2 linked regions of the Tribolium castaneum genome follow. Each later gene encodes a partner of the first gene's protein in a complex. Links are inferred from orthologs where the notes say so. Each region holds a gene or a part of one and is shown in the gene's direction. Other genes may lie near its edges.

Region 1 (3,131 bases):
GTTTCTCTGTCATGCGTGTGGTCATTCTTAAATGTTTTGTTTAAAAAATACGTAAAAAAAGTAGAAACGTAGCATTAGCGCTTTGTTAAAAAATAATAAGAATTTTTTTAGTTTCTTGGTCGTATCATAACAGTGCATCATTCTTCTACACGTTTCTTACAATATTATCAATATTTAAGATTTTAATAAAAAAAATATCAAGTAATTTTATGTTGGCGCAAATTCTAATTATGTAAAAATAGAAAAATTATTTTTAGTATAGTTGCCTCTGTCGCACACTTTGTGTCTTTTTTAGCCTTAAAAAATTAATTGCATTTGCTGCTCTATTTTGGTATTGTTAATTTAAGGGCGCGTGTGATTTATTTTTTATTTTAGTGAATCCAGCAAGGAGAAATTAATTTCGCCCCGCGCCCGCGTAAAATTAAAAGAGGCGGCTGAACCCGATCGAAAAGTAACCCAAAGAACAAAAATATTGGTCAGTTTATATCGCCAGAAGGAATTTCTCAAGAAAGACATTTTACGAAAGCGGGCCTTACTTGAAAAGGAATTACAATACGAGATTCAGGTAAATTGAATAAAAAAATTATCTTATTTTATATTGATTGTGTTGGGATTGTAGAAAGAAGTAGCAGAGGAATTAGCTGCCCGGACAAAGATCGAACGAACCAAACAAGATGAGGTTCGCACTGGTAGCAGTAAACGAAAATCGGCAGCGACGGCCACCACGGCGGTCATCCCTCAAGCCTCCAAAACTGCTCGTCACAAGAAGGGCCAAAAACAGACTCATGCCGTCCCATCGACGGCGGCACAAAGAAGTGGCATTAAAAAGGAAAAATTGTATTGCGTTTGTCGGACGCCGTACGACGAGACGAAGTTTTACGTCGGTTGCGATTTGTGTAATAATTGGTTCCACGGGGATTGTGTGGGAATCACCGAAGAGAGTAGTCGAACGCTGACTGAGTTTGTCTGTGAGGAGTGCAAGCAGGCCAAAGATACGGAAAAATTGTACTGTTTGTGTCAGCAGCCATACGACGACTCACAGTGAGTTGGCTTGGGTGAAGTTGAGTTCAGGCGTGATTCGTTTGTGTTTAGGTTTTATATCTGTTGCGACCGGTGTCAGGATTGGTTCCATGGCCGCTGTGTGGGGATTTTGCAGTCGGAAGCCGATAATATCGACGAGTATGTGTGTCCAAGGTGTCAGAGGAATTCGTCGGTGAATTTCGCAAATATGAAGGATTTGTCGCAGAAGGACTTTGAGGCGTTGAAAAAACTAATCAAACAATTACAGGTGAGGACTTTTTACTCTAGTTATAAAAACTGCTTACAAAAAATTCGAAATAATTGTTCCCATTTTAAATTTTTCATGGCAGTTATAGTGCATTCTATTTTGTTTACCTCAACACTTTTTTACCTGAACCGAAAACTTGTGCACCGTAGATTTCTGCACAATGTAAAACGTTTTCGTACAGCCTGGTTTCTTATAATGCTGTTGTCATTTGTAATATCGAAAACCATTTGAATTCAAAATAAAGGTAAAATATTTATTACTTTAGTAATCGTTCTTTTGTTATTTTTGTTTTTCATTCGTTATTATTATTTTTATGTTTTTTAATATTATAGGAACACATACTATTCTTATCGTATTACTTTAAAAAATATATTTATATTCATCTCTTTACATTTTTTAATAAAGGTTTATTATTATTTTTGTTTGTGTAGGCTCATAAAAGCGCTTGGCCGTTCATGGAGCCGGTGGATCCGACTGAAGCTCCCGATTATTACAAGGTGATTAAGGAGCCAATGGGTAGGTCCTTATGGTTTGGTTTTGGCGGTTTAGTGATTGTCGCTTGTTTCAGACCTCCAAAAAATTGAGAATAAAATCAATGATCAAAGTTACACAAAGTTGAGTGAGTTTATAGGGGACATGACGAAAATATTCGATAACTGTCGATACTACAATCCAAAGGAATCTCCGTTCTTCAAGTGTGCAGAGTCTTTAGAAGCTTATTTTGTGAATAAGATAAAATGCTTAAGAGATAAATTTATGGAGACCAACAAATGATTCGTTTCTTAAATGAGCTTTTTTAATTTTAGGCAATAAGTGCGTACACGGGATTTCAAGTTGATTGGTAATAGATCTCAGCGTAGGAATTGTGTGACCAACTTGAAATCTTGACTTTTTTGTATATAAGTTGTGAATATATGTACGAATGCGATTTAAGTTAGATTTAAATAGTTACGACATATTTTTAAAAGCTCTGTATTATTTATATTTAAATTAATAAACTTGTTTAAGTTTTTTAAATTATTTTCGGAGTTCATGATGTAGTGTATTTATATAAAACGTGGATATATAAAGCATCTATTCAGATATAGTTAGTGCCATTGTAGATATTGTGTTATTTAACAGAGTCTTCTTATGTTTGCACATATGAAATTTTTATATTTGGTCGGTATTATATCGACTTGTAACAGTAAATATAATATTTACATTAACTGCGTTTCATTCCCTAATCGCTGTTTTAGGCGAAAGAAGAGGACTGACGCAAGTATAATTTTTATTTTGTTTAATTATTACATTAGTTTTCCCTCAGGACCTGTCTGAAGCGCTCCAGGAACACATCGGCGTGGCGTTCCTGGAAAATGAGCGACGGTCTCAGCCTCAAAGAGTGATCCCCACAGCCCCCCATCAAAACACCTGAAACCGAAACATTACCCAGTCCTCAAGCAAACAAACACTAACCTTTCTGCTTCATTTTCGCAATAATACTGTCTCGCAAAGCGGGCGTGTGCGCATTCACGGCCAAAAACGTGCCACGTCCCCTGGTGGAGTTAATTTTTTCAGGAAATTCAGCCTCCAGTCTCAACAAGCCTTTCTTCAACTTATCCCCGACTTTATTAACATTATCCAGGAGATTCTCATTTTTGATAGTCTCAAGACACGCCTCCAACAGGGCGATTTTCCCCGGATCCCCCATCCAGGTATTGAAAATCCTGTAGGGCTGTTTGGGCCTCAAATCAACCGAATGGTAGTACCCCCCTGTCAGCATTTTTTTGCTGAAGGTGACGATATCAGGGGGCGATTCTAGATTGAAGTGTTCGTGTGCCCAGAACTTCCCTGTGGCCCCACA
Region 2 (4,496 bases), on another chromosome or scaffold:
AATACTAAAAACTCGTACAATTTTGCCAAATTATAGTTTTTTTATCAGTAATTTAGACTTACATTTTTTTTTCTTAAAAAATATTCTGTTTATTCAATAAAACATCACTAATAAGATAAATTCTAATACATTTGTTATTTAACTAACATCTAACGTCCTTGGTAGTAATTACATCCCACTAGAATAATTTGTAAATATCTCCACTGTTGTCACTTTTGTGAAAGTTCATTGAATTTCGTCATTTATTACAATGCGGTAAGTGGTGGAAAAATCCGCGGTTGTAAGTGAAAAAACTGATCTGGCAAACGTGGACTAATTATAATTCAACAATGAATGATAATAACAATGTTGCCAATTCAAAAAAATGAATTTAATAATTTTTGAGTTTATTGTGATACGCACCGAATGAATTGCAAAATTACATTTAAATCTCTCTAATTGGTTTTAACTTAAGCGTAATAAAATGTAAAAATAATACTGTTTTTGACATTTTCGTTTTGGTTGTGCGATATCTTACAAAAACATTAGTTCATAAACGTGTTTTACTATTTTAAGTGTACAAAAGATAAAATAACACCGTTTTCCGACCAAATTGAGTGGTTATTTTAACAAAATTTTACGCACAAAAAACCAAGTAAATTAAGTAAAACACGTAAAATCTCATCAGATTTTTTACAACAATTTTTTCAAATGAGTTTTAGACATATCTGGATGAGTGGATAGTTTTGAAATTTTTTTTTTTTTTCTAAAATGTAGTTGCAGAGGTATTTTAATTTTGCATACTAAATGAGTCGATCGGATTGAAAACAGTAATTTCGGTTCACTTTCATAAAAACCATTGTGATGGAATTGACTAACCTGTTACCATGACAACTCGTATAAAATTTAATACTAAGAGTATCCAATTTCCACCACAATGGTTTTAATGGAAGTGAACCGAATATACTTAAAAACACTTAGAACATTACTATACAAAATTTTGGAAAATTTTGTTTTACATTTAGTAATTTTTACTTTTCGAGAATTTTTGAAATGCAATTGGCGACATTTCACCAGACTTGGCAACACTGGATGATGAGTTTTTGTCGCCATTACAGCGCCATCTTCTAACACTAGTTGTAGTAAATTGGTGTTTACCGAAGATTTCTGCAACGAGCGAAACCTGTGAGCAAAACGCATTGCTGACTTCAAGGTGATAAGACTGATAAGTTTCCTACGTGCGAATTGTTGAACCTTGGAATTTAATCGAAAATCGTTATCACCAGAAACTCTTAAGATAAACTGATATCAATCTGTAATTGGAAAAACAACTCCAAATTACTCACCATGGTCAATGTTAGACAAATATTTATTTTTTCGACCAATAGTTTTTAATTAGTTGTTATGTAACTTTTAGTTTATTTAATTTTAAGCCAGTGAAATGTGATAAGTTTTGTTGTTTATTGTAGTTGGTGAGTACAGTATCTGTACCTGTACGTATTTCCAAATTTTGAATATTTCGCGCCTATTTTGTATTGATTAGTTCAACAGTTAGTGCAGTGATTTTGGATAGAGGGGGCAATGGTCGTCCATAAATTCTCACGCGTGTTCGCAGGCGGCTTGCACAAACTATTATCACACCAAAGTCACAGTTTGCGGTGTTTTTCGTCCTCCGGCATTTGTTTCAATATGGCCTATTCTGTTGTTGAAAGAGGATCTCCTTACTCTCCAGACTACAGAGTTTACATCCGTAAGACTAAAATCATATAATATAACCTCTCACAATCCTTGATCTTCATCTTTGACCCCCGACCCTTATCATAGAACTTTTAATTAACAGAAAATCAAAACGGACCAATTTCGCCACTTCACGATGTCCCTTTGGTGGTGGACAGCACCAAAAAAATTTTCAACATGATTGTGGAGGTCCCCAGGTGGACCAATGCCAAGATGGAGGTAAGTCTAAAAAGGCGAAAAGATAAACAGCCATCAGCCAGCCTTCTCTTAGATTACTATGAAGGAGATCTTGAACCCCATCAAGCAAGATGTGAAGAAGGGTAAGCCCAGGTTTGTTGCCAATTGTTTTCCGCACCATGGTTACATTTGGAACTATGGGGCTTTGCCCCAAACTTGGGAAAACCCCGAGCATCTTGATGATGGTACAGGATGCAAGGGGGACAACGATCCCATAGATGTTATTGAAATAGGGTACAGGGTTGCGAAACGGGGGGAAGTCCTTCAGGTGAAAATTTTAGGAACCATTGCGTTAATTGACGAAGGTACAATCAACAAGTGCCGGGTTTTCCTCTAATTATTTTATCCACAGGAGAAACAGACTGGAAATTAATTGCTATAGATGTTAAGGATCCTTTAGCCGATCAAGTGAATGATGTTAGTGATGTAGAGAAACATTTCCCTGGTCTTTTGAAAGCCTCAGTTGAATGGTTTAAAATCTATAAAATTCCAGATGGTAAACCTGAAAATCAGTTCGCTTTTAATGGCGAAGCGAAACCGGCGAGTTTTGCGCTGAAAGTGGTAGATGAGGTATTGATCTATTTCCAAGGATTTTCTAGTGTTATTAAGTTGATGCATTTTTTATAGGTACACCGTTTCTGGAAAGCTTTGGTCAATAAAGAAGTTGATGCCAAGGGCATTTCCTGGTACGTAAAAGTTATGGTGACATTGAGTGTTTCTTTTTATGTTATTATGTTATTTGATTACGGCGTTTTTACCTAAAACTGATAAGTTACAAGGTTGCTAAATTGTTTGTTTCATATTGATTGAATGCTGAAACTTTTAAAACATGACAAGAGTTATCTTTGTTGCCATTATTTTTATACTTGAAGGTAGATCCCATTGTTATGAACAGTAATTTTTCCGTAAATCTACTATTTATTGTTTGAACATCATTATTTGCGCTGTGCTTTGCTTTAATTTATGATTCGTAAATGATAAAGCGTAATCTTAATTATTTGTATTTTTTTAAATGAAGTCATAACCAATTGGTACTGAAATAAAATATCAACTGATTTATTTGCTACCTAAGCAGAAAGTGAGGTGGACCTTTTTGTCTTTTTTTGTTTATGTTGCAATTATTTGAGTTGATTTTAAAGTTATCACTATTTTTTGATAAATTATGTACCGAATATTCCTCGTCCAAATTTTACTCAAGGAGGCGTTTGAACACAAAAAGCATCAGATTTATACTATTTGTTTTGTAAATTTTTAGTTTAAAAAACTAGCTAATAATTAATTTCGTAATAATTAACTTACGTTTTCAAAACGAATGCAATGAATTCATGATTAATGAATAGCCACTTTCGAGTAAATAACTGATATCTTTTTTTGTGATAAAAGTGGAATTGCATTTAATATGCAAAAAACTTCAAGTTCAACATTCCAAACAAATCACCCCATTTATAGTTTTTCTACAAAAACATTCAAATTTACTATTGTTTTCACTTGTTTAATTCTTTATTTAATTCTGTTTTTTAGTTCTCTAACGATCTTGATTTTGCTGGAACGCCAGAAAGCATTTATTTTTTGTATTTTATTCTGGCGTGTTTTGACAAGATCTTGCAAAATAAATGAGTTCTTAATGAAGGCTAAAATTTTTTGGGAAATCTATGCTTTTTCGATATACAAAAAGTTTACTTAATCGATTTGTTTTGCTATTGTCTATCTATCTTTAAAATTTTGCTAAACCATTCCCTAACAGGCTGTATTTAAATATGTAGTTTGCTAATTTTAGTTTTTGAGTTTTTGATTGAAAAATGTGCAAAATTCTCGTATATATAACAACCAGTGGCGGAAGTAATTTTTATCTCGGTTTCTAAATTTCCTTAATAAAAATGTAATTAAGCCATTAATTGATTGCTTTAATTACTTTTTCAAGTGTCAACACTACTATTGAGGGCAATCCATTCAAAATATCAGTCAGTGAGGCTAAAGACGTGATTAACAAAACTCCAGTTTATTCGCAACCGCAAAAGGTCGAACCTATTGGTAAGTCTCTCATAAAATTTGTTTTCTTTTTAATTTAATTTTTTAGTTGATAGAGTTTATTTTGTTAGAAGACTGTGCAATAAATGTAGACTTTAATAAACACTCTCTTCTTCTATTAAATGTTTTATAATACTTATATGTTGTGTTTTTTTTTACAGTGGATAAATGGCATTACGTCCATTTAAAATAAAGAAGATATTAAAAATTGTTACACCCGTGCATTTATTGTTTCTATTTTTTTTCTAAGGGTAAGAGTGTAGCGCATGGTGTTTTTGCTTATAAGAAATAAATTATAATTTATATAAAAACTGTGTTTTAACGAACTGTCCCACGTCCATTTTCTCCTAACGTGTTTTCACGTCACTTCCTGCAAACTAGTGAAGGCGTTTAATAGAAGTAAACAGATTAAGGTTCGCGGAATGCAAAATTGAAGATAAGTAAAGCTTTCCCTCTTTTTTCAGTACGTAATTCGATATTGCTTTGAGTCATTTTATCTAATGTTGTTATTGGTG

Evidence for each region.
Region 2: E(bx) (region 1) and Nurf-38 share a complex: the UniProt entries of both Drosophila melanogaster proteins name them as parts of the NURF complex. The link is inferred for Tribolium castaneum from reciprocal best matches to the Drosophila melanogaster genes E(bx) and Nurf-38.

Annotation. Positions count from the first base shown.
Region 1 is NC_087395.1:15,338,335-15,341,465, forward strand, and holds the end of E(bx) (nucleosome-remodeling factor subunit NURF301), read left to right. Parts: intron 1-375; coding exon 376-565; intron 566-619; coding exon 620-1,041; intron 1,042-1,092; coding exon 1,093-1,288; intron 1,289-1,719; coding exon 1,720-1,804; intron 1,805-1,856; coding exon 1,857-2,062; 3' UTR 2,063-2,496; downstream 2,497-3,131. Other genes in the region: 4-aminobutyrate aminotransferase, mitochondrial-like, read right to left, coding at 2,580-2,698, 2,744-3,131. UniProt on the Drosophila melanogaster protein: Histone-binding component of NURF (nucleosome remodeling factor), a complex which catalyzes ATP-dependent nucleosome sliding and facilitates transcription of chromatin.
Region 2 is NC_087397.1:12,922,476-12,926,971, forward strand, and holds Nurf-38 (inorganic pyrophosphatase), read left to right. Parts: upstream 1-1,448; 5' UTR 1,449-1,560; coding exon 1,561-1,729; intron 1,730-1,819; coding exon 1,820-1,935; intron 1,936-1,987; coding exon 1,988-2,258; intron 2,259-2,305; coding exon 2,306-2,523; intron 2,524-2,580; coding exon 2,581-2,639; intron 2,640-3,874; coding exon 3,875-3,984; intron 3,985-4,030; coding exon 4,031-4,080; 3' UTR 4,081-4,120; downstream 4,121-4,496. Other genes in the region: CYP6BQ13 (cytochrome P450 monooxygenase), read right to left, coding at 1,138-1,179. UniProt on the Drosophila melanogaster protein: Component of NURF (nucleosome remodeling factor), a complex which catalyzes ATP-dependent nucleosome sliding and facilitates transcription of chromatin.